3 linked regions of the Arabidopsis thaliana genome follow. The protein of the gene in region 1 purifies or fractionates together with the protein of each later gene. This does not show direct contact. Each region holds a gene or a part of one and is shown on either strand. Other genes may lie near its edges.

Evidence for each region. The genes of interacting proteins can lie anywhere in the genome.
Region 2: the proteins of LHCB4.2 (region 1) and PSAG fractionate together in Arabidopsis thaliana (co-fractionation; one large-scale study listed by BioGRID). This does not show direct contact.
Region 3: the proteins of LHCB4.2 (region 1) and PGRL1B fractionate together in Arabidopsis thaliana (co-fractionation; one large-scale study listed by BioGRID). This does not show direct contact.

The regions. Positions count from the first base shown.
Region 1 is NC_003074.8:2,713,748-2,721,824, forward strand, and holds LHCB4.2 (light harvesting complex photosystem II), read left to right. Parts: upstream 1-3,809; 5' UTR 3,810-3,969; coding exon 3,970-4,470; coding exon of another isoform or gene 4,471-4,555; coding exon 4,556-4,918; 3' UTR 4,919-5,176; downstream 5,177-8,077. Other genes in the region: AT3G08930 (LMBR1-like membrane protein), read left to right, coding at 1-164, 267-352, 645-760, 872-982, 1,201-1,299, 1,392-1,514, 1,777-1,839, 1,919-1,983 and 6 more. UniProt on the Arabidopsis thaliana protein: The light-harvesting complex (LHC) functions as a light receptor, it captures and delivers excitation energy to photosystems with which it is closely associated.
Region 2 is NC_003070.9:20,800,795-20,807,833, reverse strand, and holds PSAG (photosystem I subunit G), read left to right. Parts: upstream 1-4,384; 5' UTR 4,385-4,452; coding exon of another isoform or gene 4,453-4,477; coding exon 4,478-4,960; 3' UTR 4,961-5,164; downstream 5,165-7,039. Other genes in the region: AT1G55680 (Transducin/WD40 repeat-like superfamily protein), read left to right, coding at 540-677, 813-980, 1,084-1,170, 1,367-1,501, 1,589-1,699, 1,806-1,897, 1,979-2,084, 2,273-2,359 and 1 more; AT1G55675 (uncharacterized protein), read left to right, coding at 3,654-3,980; AT1G55673 (uncharacterized protein), read right to left, coding at 4,453-4,863; AT1G55660 (FBD, F-box and Leucine Rich Repeat domains containing protein), read right to left, coding at 5,494-5,781, 5,863-6,003, 6,091-7,039. UniProt on the Arabidopsis thaliana protein: Not yet known.
Region 3 is NC_003075.7:7,173,011-7,182,690, reverse strand, and holds PGRL1B (PGR5-like B), read left to right. Parts: upstream 1-4,802; 5' UTR 4,803-4,981; coding exon 4,982-5,147; intron 5,148-5,517; coding exon of another isoform or gene 5,518-5,563; intron 5,564-5,645; coding exon 5,646-5,758; intron 5,759-5,845; coding exon 5,846-5,942; intron 5,943-6,030; coding exon 6,031-6,131; intron 6,132-6,235; coding exon 6,236-6,292; intron 6,293-6,418; coding exon 6,419-6,495; intron 6,496-6,596; coding exon 6,597-6,648; intron 6,649-6,754; coding exon 6,755-6,865; intron 6,866-7,098; coding exon 7,099-7,196; intron 7,197-7,281; coding exon 7,282-7,351; 3' UTR 7,352-7,365; intron 7,366-7,453; 3' UTR 7,454-7,805; downstream 7,806-9,680. Other genes in the region: AT4G11970 (YTH family protein), read right to left, coding at 1-416, 488-564, 706-957, 1,050-1,285, 1,378-1,468; AT4G11950 (transmembrane protein, putative (DUF1191)), read left to right, coding at 8,432-9,415. UniProt on the Arabidopsis thaliana protein: Ferredoxin-plastoquinone reductase involved in cyclic electron flow (CEF) around photosystem I. The homodimer is probably not involved in CEF.

The DNA.
Region 1 (8,077 bases):
GATGTGGCCAATCGGCATGCTTGTCGACATGCTATATACAATGGAGCTTGCAATCTCACCTTGCCCATGAAGGATCTTTGGCTTGCTATTTATATCGTGGACGCTATTCTCGTGTTCTTTGTCATCCCCTTCGCAATGTTTTTCTATGAAGGCGACCAGGACAAGTTCGTAGCTTGATGAAATTTTAGTATCTCTATGTTGTAAGTTTTGAGTTAATCGAATACTGATGACAATTTGTGGGCTTTTTTTCTTTCGTTTTTTCACAGGACTCTTGGAAAGAGGATAAAAAGTGCCTTAATTTGGGTAGTTACCACGGCTGTTGTTTGTGCTCTGGTGCTTGGAATTTTATATGGTTAGTTGTTCCTCTGTTTTCAATTCTTTTGTCGACTTGAAATTCAGCGTCTTTCTGTATTGACGAATGACGATAGTCTGGAGGTTATACTTGTTTAGCTGGAGTGGTTATTGAATCCATTAGTGAGCATGTGGCAAGGATGAATCTGATGTTGGTCTCTATGATTTGACTGCATTCTTATGTTAATTTTGGCTTTTAAATTACCCAATCAGGGCTTGGGTTGAGATATCTATCTTATCCATTTATATGCTAGGAATACCTTAACATTATTGGTAACATCTTCATCATGTAGGTGTCATTGGAAAGGTGGACTTCTCGGTCAGGCATTTGGCTTCTGCCACATCCACTTTCCCTACTTCCTGGCAGTTTTCAAATACTCAACCATGCATAGGTAACACTGCTCGCCAGGTATGTTTGCCTCTTGAATGTAGCATTAGCATTAGTTTTTATATCATGAGTCATTTATGCCGTAGAGAGTTTCAGCATTTAACATATTCCTGTCTCTGGCTATCAATGCAGTGCTCAGCATTTACAGCTAATCCCACATCTGAGAAAACATGGACTATGCGTACTACTTTTCCAGAATATGTTGTTGCTCTTGCGACAATTGTTGGGTCAGTTCTTTTCACGGTATGACCATTGTTCTTTCATGTTGAGAAGTGCATTGTTTGCTTTGAAAGGATTTAATCTGTCTTATATTGTTGATTCTTCATTGACTAACACAAACTCTCAACAGATGAGATGCATGGCAAGATATAATTCTGTATCCATTGAAGTAAATAGATGTTTGATTTATACATTTCAGTAAAAAAAATCTGATAACTAATTGTTCTCTCAAATATTTCTAGATATTTGGTGGTGTTGGTATTGCATGTCTACCATTAGGACTTATCACTGCATTCATCAGGCGACCAAAGGCTGTTATCACTCGATCACAATATATAAAGGTCTGGTTATTGTTCTCCTCTGGAAGCATCTCTCTAGATCTTGAGTCAATCCCTCTGTCTCTTGCATGATTAACTCCATAAATATATTACAGGAGGCAACCGAACTAGGTAAAAAGGCAAGAGAACTAAAGAAAGCAGCTGATGGACTTCATCAGGAAGAAAGAAGTGGTGCTAAGGGCAGGAAATGGCGGAAAAATGTGAAAGCAGTTGAAAAGGTACCTCATATATCTCAAGGTTCAGTATCTTATCTAAATTTTGTTTCATAAGTAGCAACTTGGAAAGTTTGCCTATTCATACTGGTCCCTTGTGTGTAAAGAGGCTTTGGTCGTCTGTGGAGTTATGAGAATGACAACTTGTAGTGAAAAGCTAGTGAGATAGTAGAATTGGTTATTGACTTTATTGGTAGCTTTTCTTTGCTTGGTTGTGGATTTAAGCTGTGTCCCCTCAATCCTATAATTGAATGTGGTAACCCTGCAGGAGTTGCTCCAATTGGAGGAAGATGTGAACCTCTTAGAAGAGATGTATCCTCAAGGAGAGCAGGTAAGACGAGTGTATCTTAGAACTTATACTATAATATTTTTCTTGTTCAACTATTTTATTCCCTGGTACCTTTTTCCAGGCAGAAACTGCATGGGCTTTCACTGTGCTCGGATACTTGGCCAAGTTTATTCTTGGAATCGTAGGGTTAGTACATCTAAGCAGAAACCTCCTTTGCATTTTTTTTTGTTACATGTTGTATAAATCATGCATAATGCATACAGTTCTTGCATATTTAGGTTTGCACTCTTAAGCTCCCGAGCTAAGCGTCTTTTTAAATGGCAAATTTTTAATGTCTTTGTAGATTGATCGTTTCCATTGCTTGGGTTGCACACATCATCATATATCTACTCGTCGACCCTCCTCTCTCCCCTTTTCTTAACGAGGTTTTCATTAAGCTTGATGATGTTTGGGGTAAGTTCATACTTTTGTCCTTGTTATCCTGTATAAGGTTTCTTCTTTGTTTCTAACTGACTCCATGCTGGTACGTGTGGAAATCTCCAGGTCTTTTAGGCACTGCTGCCTTTGCTTTCTTCTGTTTCTACCTTCTACTTGCTGTTATCGCTGGGGCAATGATGCTGGGTTTGAAGCTGGTCTTCATTACCATTCATCCAATGAAGTAATCCATCTAACCGGTTTCAACATTATTTGGCTATTTTCCAAGGTCATTCATTACCTTCTCTTGATTGCTGATTGGCCATATCAACTTATTTCAGATGGGGAGCTACTCTAATGAACTCTTTCCTCTTCAATGTCGGCCTCATTCTTCTTTGTTCAATCAGGTAAGTCTCTCTGGTCTCTTCTTCTGCCTTTGTATCTGTTGGGATCAAGTGCACTCTGATAAACGGATCTAGATCAAGCATGTTTATGTGCATACATTAACTTATCAGTGTTTTCATGCCATCACTAAAACTAATTTCCTTTCCGGCGAATGCCTGAATCGAAGTTTATAGTTACTTTACTCATGCACTTGGGTATCCTTTGTACTCTATTAGATGTCAAACCAAGACTTTTAATATACAGCTGCTACCCTCACAATTACATGTTAATCCTCACAGTCTGAGTAATGTGGTTCATTTAAAATGCAGCGTGATTCAATTTTGTGCCACTGCATTTGGATATTACGCTCAAGCCACTGCTGCCCAGGAGATATTTGGCCACACATTGCAGTCCCTTAGAGGAATTAAGTACCTTTACAAGTAAGTAGAAGTGGTATAACATATAGCAGTCATATGCTATATCCGTGATGCGTCTTATTGAGGTTTTATATTTCAGGTACAATGTGTTCCAAATCGGGTTTGTTATCCTGGCTGGACTGACTTTCCTATATTACATTGCCTTTGTAAGTCCTCGTTGATGTTACTCCTCGGGTTTTCTCTTCTGTATTAAGTATTTGTAGAATCATATGGTCTTTGGTGTTTTGGCAGGGATGGAGAAGAAAAAAAACTAGTGGCCGTTTCCAGCTCTCTTCTTAATGTAAAACGTTTTCACGGGGATCTGATTGAGTGCTGTCGACAAAGTTTCTACTTGTTTCTGGATCATCATCGATTCCAGAAGTATCTAGAGACTCTGCTTCTGAGGTTTATTTTCCTGAATGTATTATTAAATTTCTTGTGAGTGTGCTGTTTGGTTGCGCAACAGTTAGCTGTCCTGTCTTGGTCTATTGTACTGTCTCGGATGCGATCATGTAATCATATTTTCTTAATGAGAAGCCTTCTTCGAATTTTTACAAGACAGAGACTTCCTTTGTGGTTTGAGACAATTGTAACCGAACCTAACCGGATTATCAATATTCTTGAATTTGTTTAGTATGCAAGGCATACAACTATACAAGTGGACATGTGCTGCTGAAGTGACAAGTGGCGTTGCTATGCGATTCGTCAATAGCTTCTTTTGCCCAATCAGCTTGCTTGCCTCATCTAACTCTAAAAGACAGACAGGATAGATAACGCGAGCTTTTTATAGATAAGGCTGATTTTGTTTCCTACCGTCAGATGGATTTGTTTCTCCATCTAACCGTCAAGATTCGTTCTCTGAGATCTCTCCCACACACATACCGCCACTTAAAAACGCCATTTGCTTCAGATAAGTTACAAACCGCAAACGCGACAGAACTAACTAACGACGCCGGAGATGGCCGCCACTTCAACCGCCGCTGCTGCTTCTTCAATCATGGGTACCCGGGTGGTTTCCGACATTAGCTCCAATTCAAGCCGGTTCACAGCCCGGTTCGGATTCGGAACCAAGAAAGCATCTCCCAAAAAGGCTAAGACGGTTATCTCAGACCGGCCTCTATGGTTCCCAGGCGCAAAATCACCCGAATATCTCGACGGTTCACTTGTCGGGGACTACGGGTTCGATCCTTTTGGTTTAGGCAAACCGGCGGAGTATCTCCAATTCGATTTGGATTCCTTGGACCAGAACTTAGCCAAGAACTTATACGGAGAAGTGATCGGGACTCGTACCGAGGCGGTGGACCCCAAATCGACGCCGTTTCAGCCATATAGTGAAGTCTTCGGGCTACAAAGATTCAGAGAATGTGAGCTGATTCACGGTCGGTGGGCAATGCTCGCCACTCTTGGCGCTATCACCGTCGAATGGCTCACCGGTGTTACTTGGCAAGACGCCGGCAAGGTATCGCCTCTTTTCTTTTCGTCACTTTTGCGTTTGTGTTTAGCGTTTCGACATCTGTCTGATTGTTTTATTTTTAATTTACCAGGTAGAGCTAGTGGATGGATCATCTTACTTAGGACAGCCATTGCCGTTCTCTATCTCGACATTGATATGGATCGAAGTGTTAGTGATCGGCTACATTGAGTTCCAACGAAACGCTGAACTGGACTCGGAGAAGCGTTTGTATCCAGGAGGCAAGTTCTTTGACCCGTTAGGACTAGCGTCTGACCCGGTGAAGAAGGCTCAGCTTCAGCTAGCTGAGATCAAACATGCTCGTTTAGCCATGGTTGGATTCTTGGGTTTTGCGGTTCAGGCGGCTGCAACCGGTAAAGGACCGCTCAACAACTGGGCGACTCACCTTAGTGACCCACTTCACACCACCATTATCGATACCTTCTCTTCCTCCTGATGTGGTGGCTTTTAGCTTCTACTGGTGTCATGTAATGATGTGGTGGCTTTTAGCTTCTACTGGTGTCATGTAATGATGTAACGTCGTTATTTTAAAGAAAATTTGGCACCTTTTGTATAAACGGAATTTCTTATACCTCGCAGTTTGTGTTTACGTAGATCATCGGAGTTATGATGAGCCTTTACATCAAATTAATCGTTTGCTAAATTCTGTCGAAATTGTTCACGTTAAGAAACATAGAATCATAAAGTTGACTCAAAAAGTGACCACCGATAAGTGGATAATTCCATTCACCAAAAAAAAAGAAAAGATTTTGTTTTTCTTCTACAGAGTAAAAAATAAGACGCAGCATCAAAACAGAGATAGCCCCAAAACAATTTCCCAAAACCCCCCTTAACCACTATCCCAACATCATTAGACAGAGCAAAGAGGAAGACCCGCAACTATTCTTTGAAACCTTTACTCAAAACAATGACGACAGAGAGAGAGAGACGCACGAGTAGTGATGATGGAAAAGCCTTTAAATTTATGATTAGAGCACGAGTCTTGCGATCATTCCTTGAGTCCAGCGTGCAGTGACCTTGAGATCTTCATCCTCTGATTCGAGACACTCATTGAGGAACTCATCACAGAAGGTGAAGTTTTGGAACAACTGCTTCGTGTTCTCCCCTACAACATCCGCAAGATCACCCATTGCTGCAACCGCGGCTTTTGTCACGCTCTCATCCCTGCTCCCAAAACAAAAACCGAGTAATAAGTTTAAACTGAATAGTGAAACTAGAAAAGATATATAAATTGATTATATTATTGAAAAAAGAAGGTACGGACCTCAGGGAATCTTTGGATACTAGTTCAACAAACTGCAACAGATGTTGAGCATAGGGCATCATGAGCTCAGCCTTTGCATCCTTGAACCCTTGCAGTATCCCGGAGTATGCTTCAAAGATGCTTCTCCGGAGTTGGTTTGCATAATCCATAAGCTCCTCGTCAAGGGTGTCCATCTGCGCACACACCTGAGCAGCACCTTGCATTATCTGAACAGCTGGAGCTACATACCTTTCAAAATGAGCACCAATCGCCAGAGCAATGTCTCCAAAGCATGAGAAGATTGGAGGCTTCACCGATCTGTGGAGTGCACCACTTTGAAGGTTTTGGATAAGGAGACCCATTATCTGATCGCAAAAGGGTAGGATTTTTTCATCCAGCGCACGGCATATGTCACCAATCACTCCTACGGTGATTGAGCAGACTTGGTATTCTTCGAAATTCTGCAGCCCCATCTGGAGATATTTAAAAAGCTCGGGCATGTATTTCACAAACTCAGTTCCAGTCGCATAGGCAAGAGCACCGATTGCAAGCATGGCTTCTTCGTGGACACTTGAACTATGGCAACCAAACACTCTTAGGAATAACCTCATGATGTCATCTGCGTTTTGCACTATGATAGGTTTCATATCGTCCCTGCTGCTCAGCTTCTGGATTATGACTTGGAGAACACCGCACAGAGACGCCTGGAGTTCCGCTTGCTTCTCACGGTCATCAGTTGATATTATAGGGAGGTCCATTGTCTCAGCTAATTTTTTCATGATGGCAGGGAGGAGATGCGCTATGATGCTTGAGGCCTCTGAAAGGTTTGAACACCGGACAACCTCGTTCAAGGTTTCATACGCAGCACCTCTTAGCTTAGACTCTGCCCCATCTGTACGCTCAGCAGCTGCAAGGAGATGTGTGATGATCTCTGTAAGATAAGGAGAGAGAAGAGAGGAACTTGCTCCAGAGTCTTCATATCCCTGTGCAAGATTGTATATTGCTCCACAGACCTTCTCTGCAACATTTGGCACATCTTTAATTGATTCCAGTAATACACTCACAATTCTAGGGAGGTTTTCGGGTGATATAACAGAGAAGCCACTGTCTGGGGTGCAAAAATTCAAAGATACGGCTCAGAGTCCAAGCAGTTGTATCCCTGACATGGTTATTCTGATCCTTGGTTGCATTAAGGAGAAATTCCAAGCCAGCAGCTACCATCGGGGCAAGCTTATCAATTGTTGGGCCCTCCAAAATTGATCCAAAAGCATAAGTGGCTGCCTCCCGGCTTCGCCAATCTGGCGAACTTATGTTTTTTTCAACAAAAGGCATCACAAGAGGGACTACACCATCTCCAACCGTTCTAGCAACCAGGCCAAGGCATGTCCCGCCAGCCATAGATATGTTCCAGACATCGTCGTCATGGTCCTGATCCTCTTCCTGCTTCAGCAGAGTTTCTAGCAACATTTGAACTAAATGGGGAAGAGCCTTCTCTATGAAACAGGAGTGGGGAGGGGATGAGTCACCACTATCAGGACTGTCATACTCTTGACGGTCGATCTCTTCATCACAGATGGAACTCCAGAACTCAATTGCTTGGAGGGCAACGCTCTCTTCATCTCCCTTTACAGCATTCGATGTGAGCTCAAAGAGTGTTTGTATGTAGTGCTCCAGCACCTCATAGTATGTGGATGCAATGGACACAAGGCACTCGAAAGCAGCTTGCCTGATCTCTGCCTCCTTGGAACATGCTGTCTCGCATACCATCTTCATGATGTAATTCCTCTCCATTTCATTCTCAAAATTTGTCTGAGAGAAATCCAAGGCATTTAACAGTGCCTTTGTTGCTGCGAGACGAACTTCAGCAGTATTTTCAGACTGGTTCATGCCCTGCACAACTGCTGTGAGGACAGAATTCACTTCATCTTGCACAAGATCATGGTGTGATATCTCTTCACAGACATAGCCTAGAGTTTCCAAGGTTGATTGCTTCAAGTGTGCGGGACTGCCTTGCTGAGTCATATTGTTAAGCAGCGATCCAACAAGTTCAGGCCACTGCTTCTGAGGAATTTCAATGGAGGCTACCTTAGCAATAACCTGAGCTGAAGTATGCCTTGCCTCTAGGGCAGATGAACCAAGAGTTCTTAGTAAGCGATCCTTGATCTGGGATTTAAGAGCAACATCAATTGCAAACCATTGTTTCACCAGATGATCTTTTGTGGCAGAATCTTTGGCGTCCAGAGAATTCTTTAGCAGAATACCGGCTAGTCGACGGGATTCAGCAGGTTTATCATTGTTTTCAAGCTCAAAAGACAAGGATAACAAGAACAGCGGCAAGTTTTGTTCTTGGAA
Region 2 (7,039 bases), on another chromosome or scaffold:
GATCCGATGATAATTTATGCAGCTCGAAACTTAATTTAGAATCATACCTTTTTCTGGATTTGGCTGACGAATCCGTTTTCAATTGCACGAGTTGCTTCGCCAGGTGAATCTATCGATCCTAGGTTTTCTCCGCCTCTGATTTTTTCTTGTTCCTGAGTTTTTGGAATCGAATTTTACGATTGGTAGGGTTTGTGTTCTTGAGGAGGCTTGTGAAGTATTTATTATTTGGTTTCGTTTCTCCCATCTTCGATTATGTCGGTAGTTTTGGTTTCTGGAAATGGACTTTGATATTTGTGTACATAGATTGCAGGTTTGATCCTTGTTTCTGAGCGATTTGCTTGTTGGAGATTGTTATAATCTCATGGAGTCGTAATCTATTAGGTGTTTTCATGCTTGATTGTTCACTAAATCACATTTTTATGTTTTAAGTATGTTGGTGTTATTGGATTCTACTATATTGTAGCTTCTGTGGTCCCTGGCTTTCGTAGTTTTTAGTAATAAAGGTGCTTTTTGATATATGTAGGTTTATCAACTTAAGAATGTCTAATTATCAAGGGGATGATGCTGAGTACATGGAAGATGTGGATGATGAAATGGATGAGGATGATTTAGATGAGGATTTTCGTGGGGATGATATGGCTGCCTCTGATTCCGATGTCGATGAGTTTGACTACTCTGTAAGTATTCCTGTGTGAAGTCTAATGTAAATTTGCTAAGCTATTTTTAAAATTCCTGTGTCAAATGTATAGCTTTAATGTCAATTAATAATTTCTGCAGTCTCTTACTCTGTTGTGTGGGTTCTTTGGTTTCAGAATAATAAAATAGCTGACACTTCAGCTGACCAAGCCCGGAAAGGGAAAGACATCCAGGGGATTCCTTGGGACAGGCTTAGTATTACGAGAGAGACATACAGACAAACTAGACTAGAACAGTATAAAAATTATGAAAATGTCCCTAACTCTGGGGAATCTTCAGGGAAAGTAAGTCTTCCATTCTCTATGTCTCGTAGGTTTTCTTTTTCTTCTATATGTTTCACTAATATTGGGTTTCAACTGATACTTATCATTTGCTTAATGAATTCAGGATTGCATGGCCACACAGAAAGGGGCTCTTTTTTATGATTTCTGGCGGAATACAAGATCTATCAAATCAAGTATTCTTCATTTCCAGGTTCATATTATTTAAACATATCTATTTTCTATTGAGTCAATGTTTTTTTGGTAATTCCATCAGTATGTCATGTGTTTGGGTAATGAGGGTGCACAAATTGCTACAACTGTCTACCTAAGTTAAAGCTTAAAAGATATGGATTCATAGACTATTTTTATGCGGACATCTAACTAAAGTTGTTTTCTTTTTATTGTAGTTGAGGAATTTGGTTTGGGCAACTTCTAAGCACGATGTCTACCTTATGTCACAATATTTGGTGAGCCACTATTCTACTTTGACATCCGGAAAGCATGATGTTCTCAATGTTCAAGGTCATGTTTCCCCATCTGAGGTTAGTTTCTTCCTGAATGATATAAGATTCCTCTATAAATACCTACATCAGTTTAATGGTTGTTGTCTTTTTCTTGTGTGGGTGCAGAAACATCCTGGAAGTTTGTTGGAGGGATTTACAAAGACTCAAGTGAGTACACTCGCAGTGAGAGATAAATTTTTAGTTGCCGGTGGATTTCAAGGAGAACTTATATGCAAGGTAAGCTCTAGAGTTTTACAATCATGGATTTTTAGTTTTTCACACAACAATTACATGCATTCTAATCAAGGAACTTCATCTTTTTCCACATTGATTTTATTTTCAGCATCTTGATAGACCTGGTGTGAGCTTTTGTTCACGTACTACTTATGATGATAATGCTATAACCAATGCTATTGAGATTTATAACAAACCCAGGTATTTGCATGTCTTTTGCTTGAGGTTGTATTTGCCAACTTGTCTCTTCTAACTGATTTTTTGATGTCTGTCTGTCTGCAGTGGGGCACTTCATTTTACTGCGTCGAATAATGATTGTGGAGTCAGAGATTTTGATATGGAGAGATACCAGCTTGTTAACCAGTTTCGCTTTCCATGGCCGGTGAATGTAAGTCCCTACTTTTTCCTTGATTTTTTTTTTGTTTTTGTTTTGGTATAAGTTGATCTGTAGTGCTTGTAGCAGTAAGTTTCAGTTACAAATACGTTTTGTAATCTGATATCTTCTTTTACATTACGAAATTGTAAATGTAATTGCACCCCAAATTATTTAACGAAAGGGGGTTTTTGTATTGATAGCACACATCTTTAAGTCCTGATGGTAAATTGTTGACGATTGTGGGAGACAACCCTGAAAGCCTTCTGGTAGACCCCAACACTGGAAAGGTACAGAAACGATCTCTGTGTTACGTATCCCTGAATAAATATGCTTTCTAACTAAATTTGGAATTTTCTACAGACACTGGCAACGCTATCAGGACATCTGGACTTTTCCTTTGCATCAGCATGGCACCCAGATGGATTCACGTTCTCCACAGGTAACCAGGACAAGACCTGCCGGGTTTGGGACATTCGTAACCTGTCAAAATCTGTTGCTGTCTTGAGGGGTAACCTTGGAGCAATCCGATCCATTCGCTACACATCTGATGGGAAGTACATGGCCATGGCTGAGCCGGCTGACTTTGTCCATGTGTATGATGTCTCAAACGGGTATGAAACGGAGCAAGAGATCGACTTCTTTGGGGAGATCTCGGGAATATCATTTAGCCCCGACACAGAAGCACTCTTCATAGGCGTTTGGGACCGCACTTACGGAAGTCTAATTGAGTATAGCCGGCGCCACAACTACTCCTACCTTGATTCATTTCTATGATCACCCGACATACCAGAGGAATAAAAGAGCCGATACATATGTGCTGCTGCACTCTCCTGTCGCTCTGTTAAACTAAGAAACCCGAGAAAAGAGAAAACATAAACTCAAGTCGATCTCTAATGGTGTAAATGATGTGTTGTGCAAGTACTAGTAGGAATGTTGTCACAGAGAGCGGATTTAGTTAGTTAATGTTCATTTCTTGTATGAGTGTTGGAGTTCGTGTATTGTACATAAGTATATGAGGTTCGGGTGAGTTTGCATCAAGTCTCAACTCTTGGCAAAGAGACAACTTTACTCGAGTCTGTGGCTCGTTATTTGGCTATGGTCACTTGTAGAGGAACTCAATTTGAGATGTTTCTGCCGATTGTTGGATCAAATTATATATCATGATGTTTCATAATATTTCTGTTTCCTAGACTATTAAAGTGTATCAATGGTAAGTTTCTCTCTCTCTTCTCTCTTTAATATCTTTTAGAGAAAGCTAAACTTTCCGATCAAACCTTTGCCTTCTGGTTTGATTCGAAGGCTCATGTTCCTCACATAGTGGGCTCGTGTCTGGCATCTCTGACTACTTTAGCGGAGTTGGCTAGCTTTCTTCTGACAGCGATGGCTTCCTTAGCGTCGTCTTGGTCGGCACCACTCCGGAAGCAGTAGCTTACATAGTATCGTCTTGACCGGATTTCGGGTTTGTCTCCGCCGTTGTTATGTTTTTCTTCCAGTTGTTTATTTACTTACAATAAATTTTATTAGGGATGTGTTGATAATATCGATTGAAGCGAATTATCGCTTAATGAAGTGTATTATTCGATGCTTTTACTTTTGAGTTTGCAATTACAGGAATTGATTCATAGCTTTTCAATGAATTATGGACTCTTATTGGCTTTGATCAATTTTTGTAAAATCTGTGCCGCTGTGTTTTTGGAATTCGGGAATCAATTGTCTTTTGGAAGATCCTTTCTTTGCAAATTTGATGATGATGTTTGTTGGGATTCTCTAATTAAAAACCGATGGACTTCTGTGTTTAAAGTTCTAGCTGTTTCCGGTGGCTTTGGAGTTTTCCGGTTGTTGCTGAACAGATCGGCGATGAACGGTGACGAAGAATCATCTATCCACGTCTTCAACTTTATTTGTTAGCATTCCACGTGGCTTTGCAGTCGGGAATTATTTAGCTTACTTCCTTAAAGGATTATGTTTCTCGATTGGGCTTTTCTCGTTGGGCCTATGGTTATAAGTTTGTTGGTTTTAGTTTCATATGTATCAAGACCTGTAATATTGAGTTTTTACAACACAAGTTATAAATAAAATACAAACACTTTATGAGAAAAAAGACTATTAAAGTGTAGATTATGGACTAAATCTTTTAAAAAAAAGATAGTAGGTTCTTCAAAGTGTATCCTACTAAATTACAAGGGTTTGAACGCAAATATTTCTTTGAAAATCTCATAATCCAGAAAGAACCAACGAGAGAATGCCACATCATCCATCCGTAATCGTATCCTCACAAACAAAATCTTCTTCTGCTTCTTCTCCTGCTTGCCAGAATCCAAAACCAAACCTTCAGATCATAAATCCAAAACCACTCATTTTTCTATTACTGAAATTTTTCTTAGAGAAGAAGAAGAAGAAGCAAAATGGCCACAAGCGCATCAGCTTTGCTCTCACCAACCACATTCTCCACTGCAATCTCCCACAAAAACCCTAACTCCATCTCATTCCATGGCCTTCGTCCCCTCCGTCTAGGTGGCTCCTCCTCCGCCCTACCCAAACTATCAACCACCGGGAGAAAATCCTCCTCCGCTGTCGTGAGAGCTGAGCTAAGCCCTTCCATCGTCATAAGTCTCAGCACAGGTCTCTCCCTCTTCCTCGGCCGTTTCGTCTTCTTCAACTTCCAGAGAGAGAACGTAGCAAAACAGGGCTTACCGGAGCAGAACGGAAAAACCCATTTCGAAGCTGGAGATGATCGTGCTAAGGAGTACGTCAGTCTCTTGAAATCGAACGATCCAATTGGATTCAACATTGTTGATGTTCTTGCTTGGGGTTCTATTGGACACATCGTTGCTTACTACATCTTGGCTACTTCCAGCAATGGATACGACCCAAGCTTCTTTGGATGATTCGTTTCAATGTCAATCTCTCGTATATGTATATGTATATGTTTGACTTGTGTTGCAAGCTATCTAATCTGTTCTCTATCTCTGTTTCTTCTTCTGTTGTTGTTGTTGTTGTCTAAGACTTGTCCCTCTTTTTGCAAATGTTTTATTTCTCCATTTACAAAGATTGGTTTGCAGAGTTTTATAAGAAGAACATAATAGTATATACACTATGGAAACAGAGAGATGAAATCACATTTTTACTTGCGCTCAAGATTTCGATTTAGTTTGAGCTAATGTTCGTATGAAAAACTTAGGTGATTTGGTGAAGCTAGTTTCATACCTAAGAGAGAGTCTAGATGTAAGATCTCAGAAAGATAAAGCCAATGTCTCAACAAAAACAGTATGCTCAAAGATAAAGTATACAAAAAGAAAACCAAAAACAAAGACATAAACCTTAAGTTTAGATCAAGTTACGGCTGCAAATAAAAAACCATTGTAATAAAGGAGGGTAGTGTCTATGGAAATGAAAGTTTGAATCCTTATGATTCACATCCTCAATGGAAGAAGACTTGGCATGTTTCTGGACCTTGAAAAGAAAGTGACAACTCCTCGATCATCTCATCTCTTGTTTCTTGAGCATATGTTGTCGGAAAAAAGATTGTCGCAGACTTTAAGCAGCGAGCATTTTTCAAGATATATTTAGCTACATCCATCTGGTTCTGCAGCAATCCATGCATCTCACTCCAACGGAACGTTTCGAGACTGGACAACAAACATGTAGGAACACAATTCAGCTGATTGTCCCACTGATTTGGTAGATCCGTACGCCCATTTGGATGATCCTGTGATCAAACATGAGAAGTTTGGCTTAAACATTATAGTTAATTGAACCAAGAGTATAGGTCTCTAAGGAACAAACTTACTTCTATCACGTAAGCCTCGAGCTCTCGTAAATTGGGAGAGCTTTTGAGTAATCGGGCAAGTAAAATTGACCAATCTGAATCACATGAACATATCTTCAATTGTTCAAGCTGGTTGAAGACAAGACCCTCATGATATAAAGACTGCATAAGATGACAAAAGATTCAACTTCAAGAAAACCTGGTTTATTGTTCAACAATGAGATGGATAGAGTGATGGAAACAGATTACCTCTTCGGTGTAGACTCCCAAGCATAACGAAAGACGCTTAACAGATGTGATTGATCCAAAGAACTTTTTGATATTTTGGAATGTCAATACAAAATCTGCCTCCTCCAACTTAGGCATATCTTCAAAATCGTAGAAGTATCGAGGACTATCACTGTCACTCTCATCATCACTATCACTCTCTAGCCTTTCATCAATGACTTTCAAATACTTCAAAGAAGGAGAATTCATCTTAAGCCCATCAAGATGACAAGGACGAGACATCTTTAGGGTTAGTCTCTGCAAGGACTTGACAATCACACTCAATTTCCCCAAATTGTCAATTTTATCTCGTTCCATAACTAGATCCTCAAGAACAGGGCAGTTGGAAAGAAGTCGGTGAAGAGAATTTGCATCCGAGTAAGTCACACGTCCAAGGAACAATGTTTTCAGGGAGGGGAGACATACCTTACGAGGAACATCAACGAGAATCTCGTCTTTCAGTTTCAAGATCACAATCGATTTGCATTTACATAAGCTTTTGGGCAATTTAGTTGGAAGCTCCGCAAAATTAAAAAGCTTTAGACTTAACTCACGGACGTTGCTAACATGAACTGCAAGTGAAACCCAGAGATAAATATCTTTAGGTTTAATTGATCCAATTGCTCCATACCTAAACTTGAGACTCAAGCTTTCAATAGCCGGAGCTTTATGTACTCGCAGACTCGAAGTAATAAATCTAGCCAACCCCTGGCCTTCAGACACTGAATAATGCCTAAAATTGTACTCCAGTTTAGGCAGCCACATCCAAAGAGACTTCCATCGCATCGATAAGATACTCGTGCTTACAGCATCTTTTGTTGAAAGAAATGATAGTACCTTCACGAGCAATTCATCAGGCAACTGACTGATCTTGTCCATTAAATTCTTCACAATCTCCACGTTTCTTTTCGTTGATGTTAACCAAGATTCA
Region 3 (9,680 bases), on another chromosome or scaffold:
AACAACATGACTTACAAAAAATATCTAATTCGAGAACAAGAGGTCGTAATGGGATGAAATTCTCAGCATAAGTTACAAGCAGATATGCCACTACCATTTCAAGAAAATCATCATCGGTTAGAGAATTCGCGAGAGGGCTTTCCAAAGGCAAACACCATGAGTTGAATCGTAAAGACTTGTCTTGCTCCGTGCGAGAGTTAGATGCACCTGGTGATGTATGCAGATATTCGGGGGAAACTCCATATCCTCTCTGCTGTGCAAGATGAAATCTGCTGAGGTCATCCTGGTTTGGGTAGACCGTAGGAGGGTAAGACATTGGTGTATGGCCCCAAAGATTGTTATTATACTCATCGTCTCCTGAAGAAGATGGAGGTTCTGCGCGGGACCTTTTTGTTGAATAATCATCCCTAGAAGAGCTGTGAGAGAATAGAATCAAGAACAAGCAGATCTAAGAACCCAAAACCCCACTTAGACTTCAAGGAGATACCTATTCAGCAACCCGTCATCGCAGCTATTTGCATCAAGGAGTTCACAAAGTGCTTCACCGATATCTTCAGGTAATTCCTAGAGCATGCACACATTAAAAGAACTTCAAATCGAGTCATTTTCATAAACCTTAAGCTATCCTAGCCTAAGCCATTATATGGATTTAAGACAACAAACGCAAAAATTCTAGGAAATGAAACAAATAGAAGAAACAAATACCTGGCAATCTCGGCTAATCTTGACAGGCTTGTAATCATTCAAAGGATTCTTGAGATGAAGTGTTTTCTGAAAAGGCAATTCACTCAACCGCAACCATTTTACTTTAAAACTACGTCCCCAGGGATTGTTTTTACCACCTCCCTGACTCCATATCTGGTCTCGCCTCCAACCCACAGGAGACAACATCTCTGCATACCCTTGGAAGAATCCGCTCATGTTCACGCTGAAGATTAAAATCACTCGACCAGATTTCTACACAAAGACTATAACCTCAGTATACCAGAGAGGCTGACAGTAGATATAAGATTATAGAGCGGTGCAAACTAAAAAGGAGAGATTCTTACATGAAAAGCGCCTTCCAATATTGGCTCATTCATTACTTGAGTAGCCCAAATCCCTTTCTCAACTGAAACTTGAATATTATCATAATTCAGACTTTTGATGATGAAATATCTCGTTCGATACCCTGGTTTACTATTCTTATTCGCCTTTGCACTTTCAAGTTGATCAGGAAAGTTACGTCGATCAACATCCACCTTTGACAGTTTATGGTCTTCCTTGCTTCTGTAACTTGTACTCTCTGACAAAATTACAACAAGAGACAGACAAAATAAAACGCAAATCTCCATGTAAAAAAAAAAAGTGAATAACAAAACATGCTTCAAAGTTTACCTGGATCATCAGAGTTTCCTAAATCTTGTTTCCAATCAGTCAAAGACGAATCGACAACAGAAGCATTTTCCTTAGCAGTATCAGAAGACATGCCTCTTTAAAACCTATATTAACACACAAGAACAACAACACTCAATTAAAACGATAAAACTTGACAGCAAAAGGAGAAAAATGAATATCAATCAAAAGCAATAAAATATCAATCACCACCACAAACAGAAGTCACACTAAGCCATTTAAAAAACAAGAATAAAACATGTATTGACTCAAATCAGAGTGCAACTATAAACATAACCAGAAAAAATCTCACTTTACATGTTCAAATTATCTACACTCCAATGATAAACTAGTGTAGTTAGTAAGCATTTTACCAAATCAATTAGCATACTAACAAGAAGTAGTTAGTGATCATTACTCATTAGTCTACTACAATGATAAACTAGTATCCATGAAACTAACTTCGAAAGTTCAACACTAACCAGAGAGATACTATTTATAATCGAAATGACATAAAGTAATTTTCTTCACCTAATCAAAACAATTCAGTAGAAAACCTAACTCTTTCTCTATTTCTTCTTCCCCATAACCAAACAGAATGTCATAAAGCATAACAATTCAAAAGAACTAGTATCAAATTAAATTCTGAAACCCATTTCTTCCTCTATTGACTGTGCCCCATAACCAAACAGAACCCATTGAACAGCCAACAAATTACAGTGTGAGAATATGAACAACATAGAACAGTACAGTTACCAGTAGAAGAAAAAAACGAACCTTGGATTATCAAAAGCTTTTGGGATAACGAATGAGAAAGAACACAAGTGAAGAAGAAAATTCTATTTAAAAATCCAAGAAAGCCCTAATCTTTCTCTGTTCGCTTCTTCTCTGTGTTTTGTATTCTTATTTTGTTTCTTCTTCTTCTTCTTCGTCTCTCTCTCTCTCTGGACTTGGGCTCTGACAATGGTAGGGTTACGTGTAGGTGAGGAAAGATGAAAATTGAACGGACAAGATGCGATTAGTGATATAATCTAACGGTACAGGATTTGGCTGTTAAAGGGTTAAGTGAACCGCTGGTGGTGTATTGTTAAGTAAAGATAAATGGGCTACCTTCAAATTTCTTTTGACGTCGAGGCCTACTTCATTATTAGGCCCACTCACATACGATCAATTACCAAATACCTAATATGACTTTATTTAAAAACTAGTTGAGAAGTTAAATTTGTACTAAACAAAATATATACTTTGGGTGCCTAAAAACTTAAAATCTTTGAAAATTTAAGCTATCCAATCAAAATAGTACATATTGAAGGGGTTGTATAATACTCAGTCCACAATTCATTTGGTTTTATTATATTATAGAAACAAAAATAATAATTAACCAAGATAGGAGAAAAAAAACTTTGAAAATAAAATAGAAAAGCAAAGAGTTCAAAGTAAACTCTAACCAAATTAAAAGATAAAAAAAGATATAAAAGCATTTTATATTTGGTTAGTTCACCAAATAAAATCTCAAATTCATCGAGTACATCCAAGATTTGGGGAGATTTATGTTGATTAGTCCATTTAAAGTAAAAAAAAAATGTTAGTCTATTCTGACAAACTATTAATGTTAGTAGATGAATAATCATGCTATGCATGAGTTGTTGTTTTGAAAATTGTTAAAAATATGTTGTATGTTCTTTGTTGCTAGTTTGTGTAGTTACATAAATATTTAGATTCATCTTATATAGTTACAATTTTTATGCTTTGATTCATCTTTTGACGTAAAATATCAAGTATATATTTTTCATGTGTAATATAATTATCTATATACATAAGATCTTAATCTTTTTTTTGCTATCATAAATACATAGAATAACAATATAAGATATATTGATATAATAGTTGTAATTATAATTGAGTTATACATTAGCATGATTTTGTATTTTTCAATTTTTTTGAAGAAATAAGTTAATAGTATTGATGGAAGATTTAATGATGTGGAGGACTTTTGATTTTCTTAACTTAATTTTGCTAAAATTTTTATTGAATAATATAAAAACACATGTAATTTTCTTGTATGATAATGTGACATTCATATGGAGAGAGTTAACCAACTTTCATATATATATTTTTTTCGATTCAAAGTAATTCTATGACATAAATTTTGTGAATTATTTGTGCATTATAAACTTAAAAATTTATTTGGTTATTTACATGGGACACCCGTGTATCGAAAAGTAGAGAGAAGATTGAACAAAAAAGCTAACAAACTTTATTTATCTCAACAAAATATTGTTACAAGCGTTAGTTAGAACTGTGTATCATTAAGCTTATATATATTTGAACTTAAGCTCACTTAATCAAAGTTAACCAAATATTAAACCAACATTAAACCAGCGAACCATACATCATAATACGCCTCTCTCAAGTCTTTATCTTCGAAGTGTCTGGTTTCCGAAGATAAAAACATCTTCTTGAGTAAATGATGAAATGACCCCGGATGTAGTGGCTTTGTGAAGTACAACTATCCACAATTTTCATTTATAATATCTAATGAGAGCATATCCGACAATGTTATAAACATTTTCTATCGATTTGTTAGTGGTTTACAAACCACCAATGACAATTTATTTCATGATAGATTCATTGTGTTTTAACTTATGGACAACCAGCATCACAATGATTGTTTTTGTCTATGGTTTGAGTCACAAGTCCGATTCATAATTGTTTGTAAATAAATATTTTTTTGTTGACTAATAAATATTATATTACAACTTTTTCTTGCAAATTACTAAAACTCAAGATTCTTTTTCATTTTTTCAAACATATATATATATATATATATATATATATATATATATTACAACAAAATTCTCTTATAAATTATTAAAATTCAAATTTTTTTATCGCAATTAGTTCCTTAAGAGAACTTATAAATAAATTAAGTCTTACATACAAAATATGTTTTCAAAAGAGTACAATGTGTTTGTTGGTTTTGCTTTCGTGCAATATCATGAAATATGTTTATGGTTTCTTAATTATTTATACCAATAGGTGATTCACCACATGATGATGCATATGTACAATTTATCTATTATAATGAGTTTACTATCTTGACTCCCACAAATCAAAACCCTTATTTTTCTTTACCGTTGTCCGTTGAGATGATAAAATAATAAACTAAAAATGATTGTACATATTTTTGTTATGATTTGAGTTAGAGTTTTTTTTTTTCGTTTATTTCAATTCTACGTAAAAAAAATTATATAAAGAATTCATTTTATTTGTGACTAATAATATCTAAATATTATAATACAATATTTGTTTTTGGTAATTTACCAAAATTCAAGATTTTATTCTTATTTTTTTCAAAATCATGACGTGGAACGCTAGACGATCCAACTTCGCTTATCTCCTCCTAATTTTCCCTCCAATTACACGTTGAAACAAAACAAAACAAAAAAATCAGAAGGAACCTGAAACTATCTCACACAGTAAAAAACATCACCATCTCAATTCTCAACCACACAAATCCAAAGCTTCTAACTTTTTTTTTTGTTCTTCGTCCCGGACAAGAGAAAACAACGATCTCACTCAATCATCGGCGTGAGGGATAAAGACGATGGCTTTTACTCTAACAATCCCTAGATTTTCTGCAATTTCTCGCAAACCCATCACTTGTTCTTCTTCGAGGACACAGTGTCCTGCTCCCTTTACCCATGGACGATCGATTTCTCTCAGACGAAGACTTACCTTATTGCCCCTTAAAGCTTCTACTGATCAATCAGGTCTCGATTTTTATTTGCCTCTTTAAAGTTTCGATTTTTTTATTTGTTTTTGCCTCTGATCTTTCTTTGGGAACGAAATTGGTGTGAAAAGTTGAGATTTTTATGATCATAGAAGATAATTAGATAAATGATTTCCAATTTGTAGCCTTTTTAGGATTAAAATTTGTGTGTAGCTTAAGGTTCTTAAGTTATTAACTCATCGTTATGTGATCGAAACAAAAAAGCACTCAATCTTCAAATTTAGTTGAGAAAAGCTGTTGTATTGTAGCTTTGATTTTGTCTCTGATCATTGTTTGGGAACACAGTGGCTTTTGAGAAAGTTTTGATTTTATTCAATCATAGAATAAAATCACTCAAGCTTTAATTCTAGTTAAGAAAAGTTGTTATATGGAACTTTTTTCCTCTGTGGATTTTTAGTTTTTATACTCTAATCCACTAAAAGATTGCTCCTTGAGAGTTTCCTTACTTCTTAAAATCATTTTTATGACTTGTCTTCAGGTCAGGTGGGTGGGGAAGAAGTTGATAGCAAGATTTTACCTTATTGTAGCATCAACAAGAATGAGAAGAGAACTATCGGTGAAATGGAACAAGAGTTCCTCCAAGCGATGCAAGTAACACATCAAATAAAGTGTTTTTATCATTAGTATGGGTTTATCTCTATATAATCGAGGATTGTTTCTGTTTCTTTTCTTTTGCAGTCGTTTTATTACGAAGGCAAAGCGATTATGTCTAATGAAGAGTTTGATAACCTTAAAGAAGAGTTGATGTGGGAAGGAAGCAGTGTTGTCATGCTAAGTAATGAACACTTATGATTTATAGTTTTGTCAATAATCCATTCGCCTAGGTTCTTGATTCTTGATCTAATTTTATCTATGTATTGTAGGTTCTGATGAACAAAGATTCCTTGAAGCTTCAATGGCTTATGTCTCTGGAAATCCAATCTTGAGTGATGAAGAGTATGATAAGCTCAAAATGAAACTAAAGGTTCTTAATCTATTTATACTTACAAATACTATTTCTTAGTTTCATCCATCTTGTTACATGTGTAATTTGGACAAACGTTATGATTGTTTCTTTGGTTTCTGTAGATGGACGGCAGTGAGATTGTGTGTGAGGGTCCAAGATGCAGTCTTCGTAGTAAAAAGGTAAAAACTCTTAATTGTTCGGATAGCTCATATATTCTTTGGACATTACAGAACATAACATTAGATTCATTGTTTGGGACAAACTCTAGAGATGTTATAGACTTGTGGACCTCCTTGATTATGCAGGTTTATAGTGATCTTGCCATTGATTACTTCAAAATGTTCTTGTTGAATGTACCAGCAACTGTTGTTGCTCTCGGACTGTGAGTACCTCCGGTTCTGTTCCTCTCTCAACTTTCAAATCACATGATCTTAGCTTATGTTAGTTAGTTTAAAATTGTTGTTTTCTTCAATTGTTCTCCAGATTTTTCTTTCTTGATGACATTACTGGTTTTGAAATCACGTACCTGCTCGAGGTAAAACCTCTTTCGACTATTCTACTATGGTTTGGAGAATATATACTCGTAGTAATTGTTCCAGTATTCATGCAACTGATTAAAAAACAAAAACAAAAATCTGCAGCTTCCGGAACCATTCAGTTTCATTTTCACATGGTTCGCTGCGGTGCCTGCAATTGTATATCTGGCGTTATCACTCACCAAACTGATCCTCAAAGACTTCTTGATCTTGAAGGTAAAAACATTAATCATCTTCCAAGATCAGTTCATGAAGTGGAAAAATAAAAGTTATAGAACTAAATCTTGTTTTCTCAGTATCAAAAATGCTTAAACAAGAGATTAGACTTGAGATAATAATCTATTTTGTGCTAAACGCTACAAATTTGGATTGGTATAGTGCCAAATCCTACGAGTTTTATGCGATTATTATGAAATGCTTTTAATTTTCGTGGAACATATCTTTCACAGGGCCCTTGCCCAAACTGTGGAACAGAGAATGTATCTTTCTTTGGAACGATACTATCCATCCCCAATGATAGTAACACCAACAATGTCAAATGCTCAGGGTAAGCTTCTCAGCTGTAGACTCGAATCGATCACACAAATTGTCTACAACGTTTCTTGAAGTCTTATGATTCTTCTGGTTTTTAGCTGTGGAACGGAGATGGTCTATGACTCAGGTTCTCGTTTGATCACATTACCAGAAGGAGGGAAAGCTTAAATCTAAGAGCCAAGGTTTAATTCTTATCTCAACTTTGATTTCTGATGAAATCTTTCTTGATTCAATGGAAAATTCAAAATTTTAGGGTTTTCTTTTTCTCAGGGTTATGTAGAAGTGTATGTAAAATTAATACTAACAAATGAAGAAGGTGGAGAAATTGAAGAAGAAGGAGAAAAACCAAAGTTTGTATGCTGTTTTGTATAATCTTCAGATCTTTTCATGTAGCTCTCATTGGCTTGTGTTGTGTTTGTAAGTAAGTGTGAGGCACATTCAAAGAAAAACATCATATGATTACTTCTTTGAGAAACTTTGCTCTCATTAGGAAAGTAAAATAATTCAAGAAATAAGCACAACCTTGTGTAGTTTTGAAATAATACTTGTATTTTTTTTGTTGTTATAATTTTGAATGTGTTCCATAATATAGTTTCGTTAATCCATGTGAAAATCAAATATGATGTTCTAAATCATTTATAGGTGCTAGTCAAGGCCAGTCCAAGACTTTTTGACTTTTGTGATTCTATAGTTCATTTTAGTATGATTTCTATTAAGAAGCTGATAGATAGATAAAAGTGGGGAACATGTAATAAGAGTTAAGGATTATTACAAAGGAAAAAGTCATACAAATATTATAGCATGCCAAATTCTATCTTTTTAATAAGAAAAAGGTGCAATGATGATGATGACATCGTCGTCGTCCCATGCCCTCTATATCATCATTTACCTTCCTTTTTTTTCTCACCGTTTAGACATTTCTAAATGTATCATTTTAGGATCGAAAGAATATAAGCAATTTACAAGACTACAAAGTGTGTATAAAGTAAAATGTCACGAGGCTAGAAGAAAGTAGGATAGTATTCTAAGCATTATAAAACATCGGTCATGCTTATTCATTATTATGTCTTAAGGATTAATAAAAGATACATAGTATATACTATATACTGATCATGTCTGTCCCCAAAACACATGCCAACAAAGTAAAACACAATCAATATACTTCTCTCTCTCTTTCTTCTTGATCACTTCTCTCTGCAAAACCTAACTACTTCTTCATTCATCTTAGAATCATTGGGTCCTCTTCACATGGGCTCTATACCATTTATCTTCATCATCCTTCTTTTTCATGTACATAAATCCAAATCTCAGACCATTGAATCAGCACATTTTCTTGATCTTATGATCAGAGATTACACCATTAGAAACTTCAACATACATTTCAAGACAGGTGCTATCCAGAAAGTCCATCTTCCTTCGAATTTCTCCTCCATTGATATCGCCACAGCTAAGTTTAGATGTGGGAGTTTGAGAAGACACGGTGCAAGAATTGGAGAGTTTCACTTAGGTCCGGGCTTGACCGTGGAGCCATGTGTTGAGAGAGTGATCCTGGTGAGACAGAACTTGGGGTTTAACTGGTCTTCTTATATTTACTCAACCGGTTATAACTTAACCGGTTACAAATACCGGCTTGTGTCTCCTGTTCTTGGTTTATTGGCTTACAATTCAAATCCGGACGGTGTTGCTGTGAATCCTTATGAGGTTAACGTAATGGGCACGGAACAAAACCCTATTTTGATCAAATTCTTAAGCAGTGAGGCAAGTGGTAGCCCTAAACCTAACACGAAGAAGAACTCATCTGTCTTGTGTGCTTGCTTCACAAGTAACGGTAACATAACGTTTAGAGAGCAAGTTTCAGCTTATGTTTGCTTGGGAACAAGACAAGGGCATTACGCGCTTGTGATTAGAGCTCATGATAGTGGCGGTGGCGGTAGTACGGTGGTAACACCGTCGTCATCTCCGGCTTTGACTGACGGTGGCGGAGGGAAATTGAGCCGGTGGAAAGTGGCGGTTGGGAGTGTGATAGGTTCAATAATTGGAGCGTTTCTGTTAGGGTTATTGGTGGTGGCGATGGTAGTGAAAGGGAAGAAGAAAGCGATGAGAGAGGAGATGGAGAGGAGAGCTTATGAAGAAGAAGCACTTCAGGTTTCAATGGTGGGTCATGTTAGAGCTAATCCTAATGCTTCGAGATCAAGAACGATTCCAAGATTTGAAAATACTAGGTATAAGTAACAAGTAACAACATACTTAAATTAGGTATCTTCCTTCTTGATAAGATGTTTTCAATTTTTAGTGTTAATTCAACTCTGTTTTTTTTTCTTTTTTTTTTTTTTTTTTTTTTTTGTGTTGGATTGTAACTTCTAAGATCTTCATTATTTAGGTGACATAATATGTGGAGTTAACTGTTTTCCAAATGAGTTATTGAAAATATTGTAAGCCGCTTTAATTTAAAATTTTAATTAATTTTATTATATAATACAGATTTATGATTAGTTAA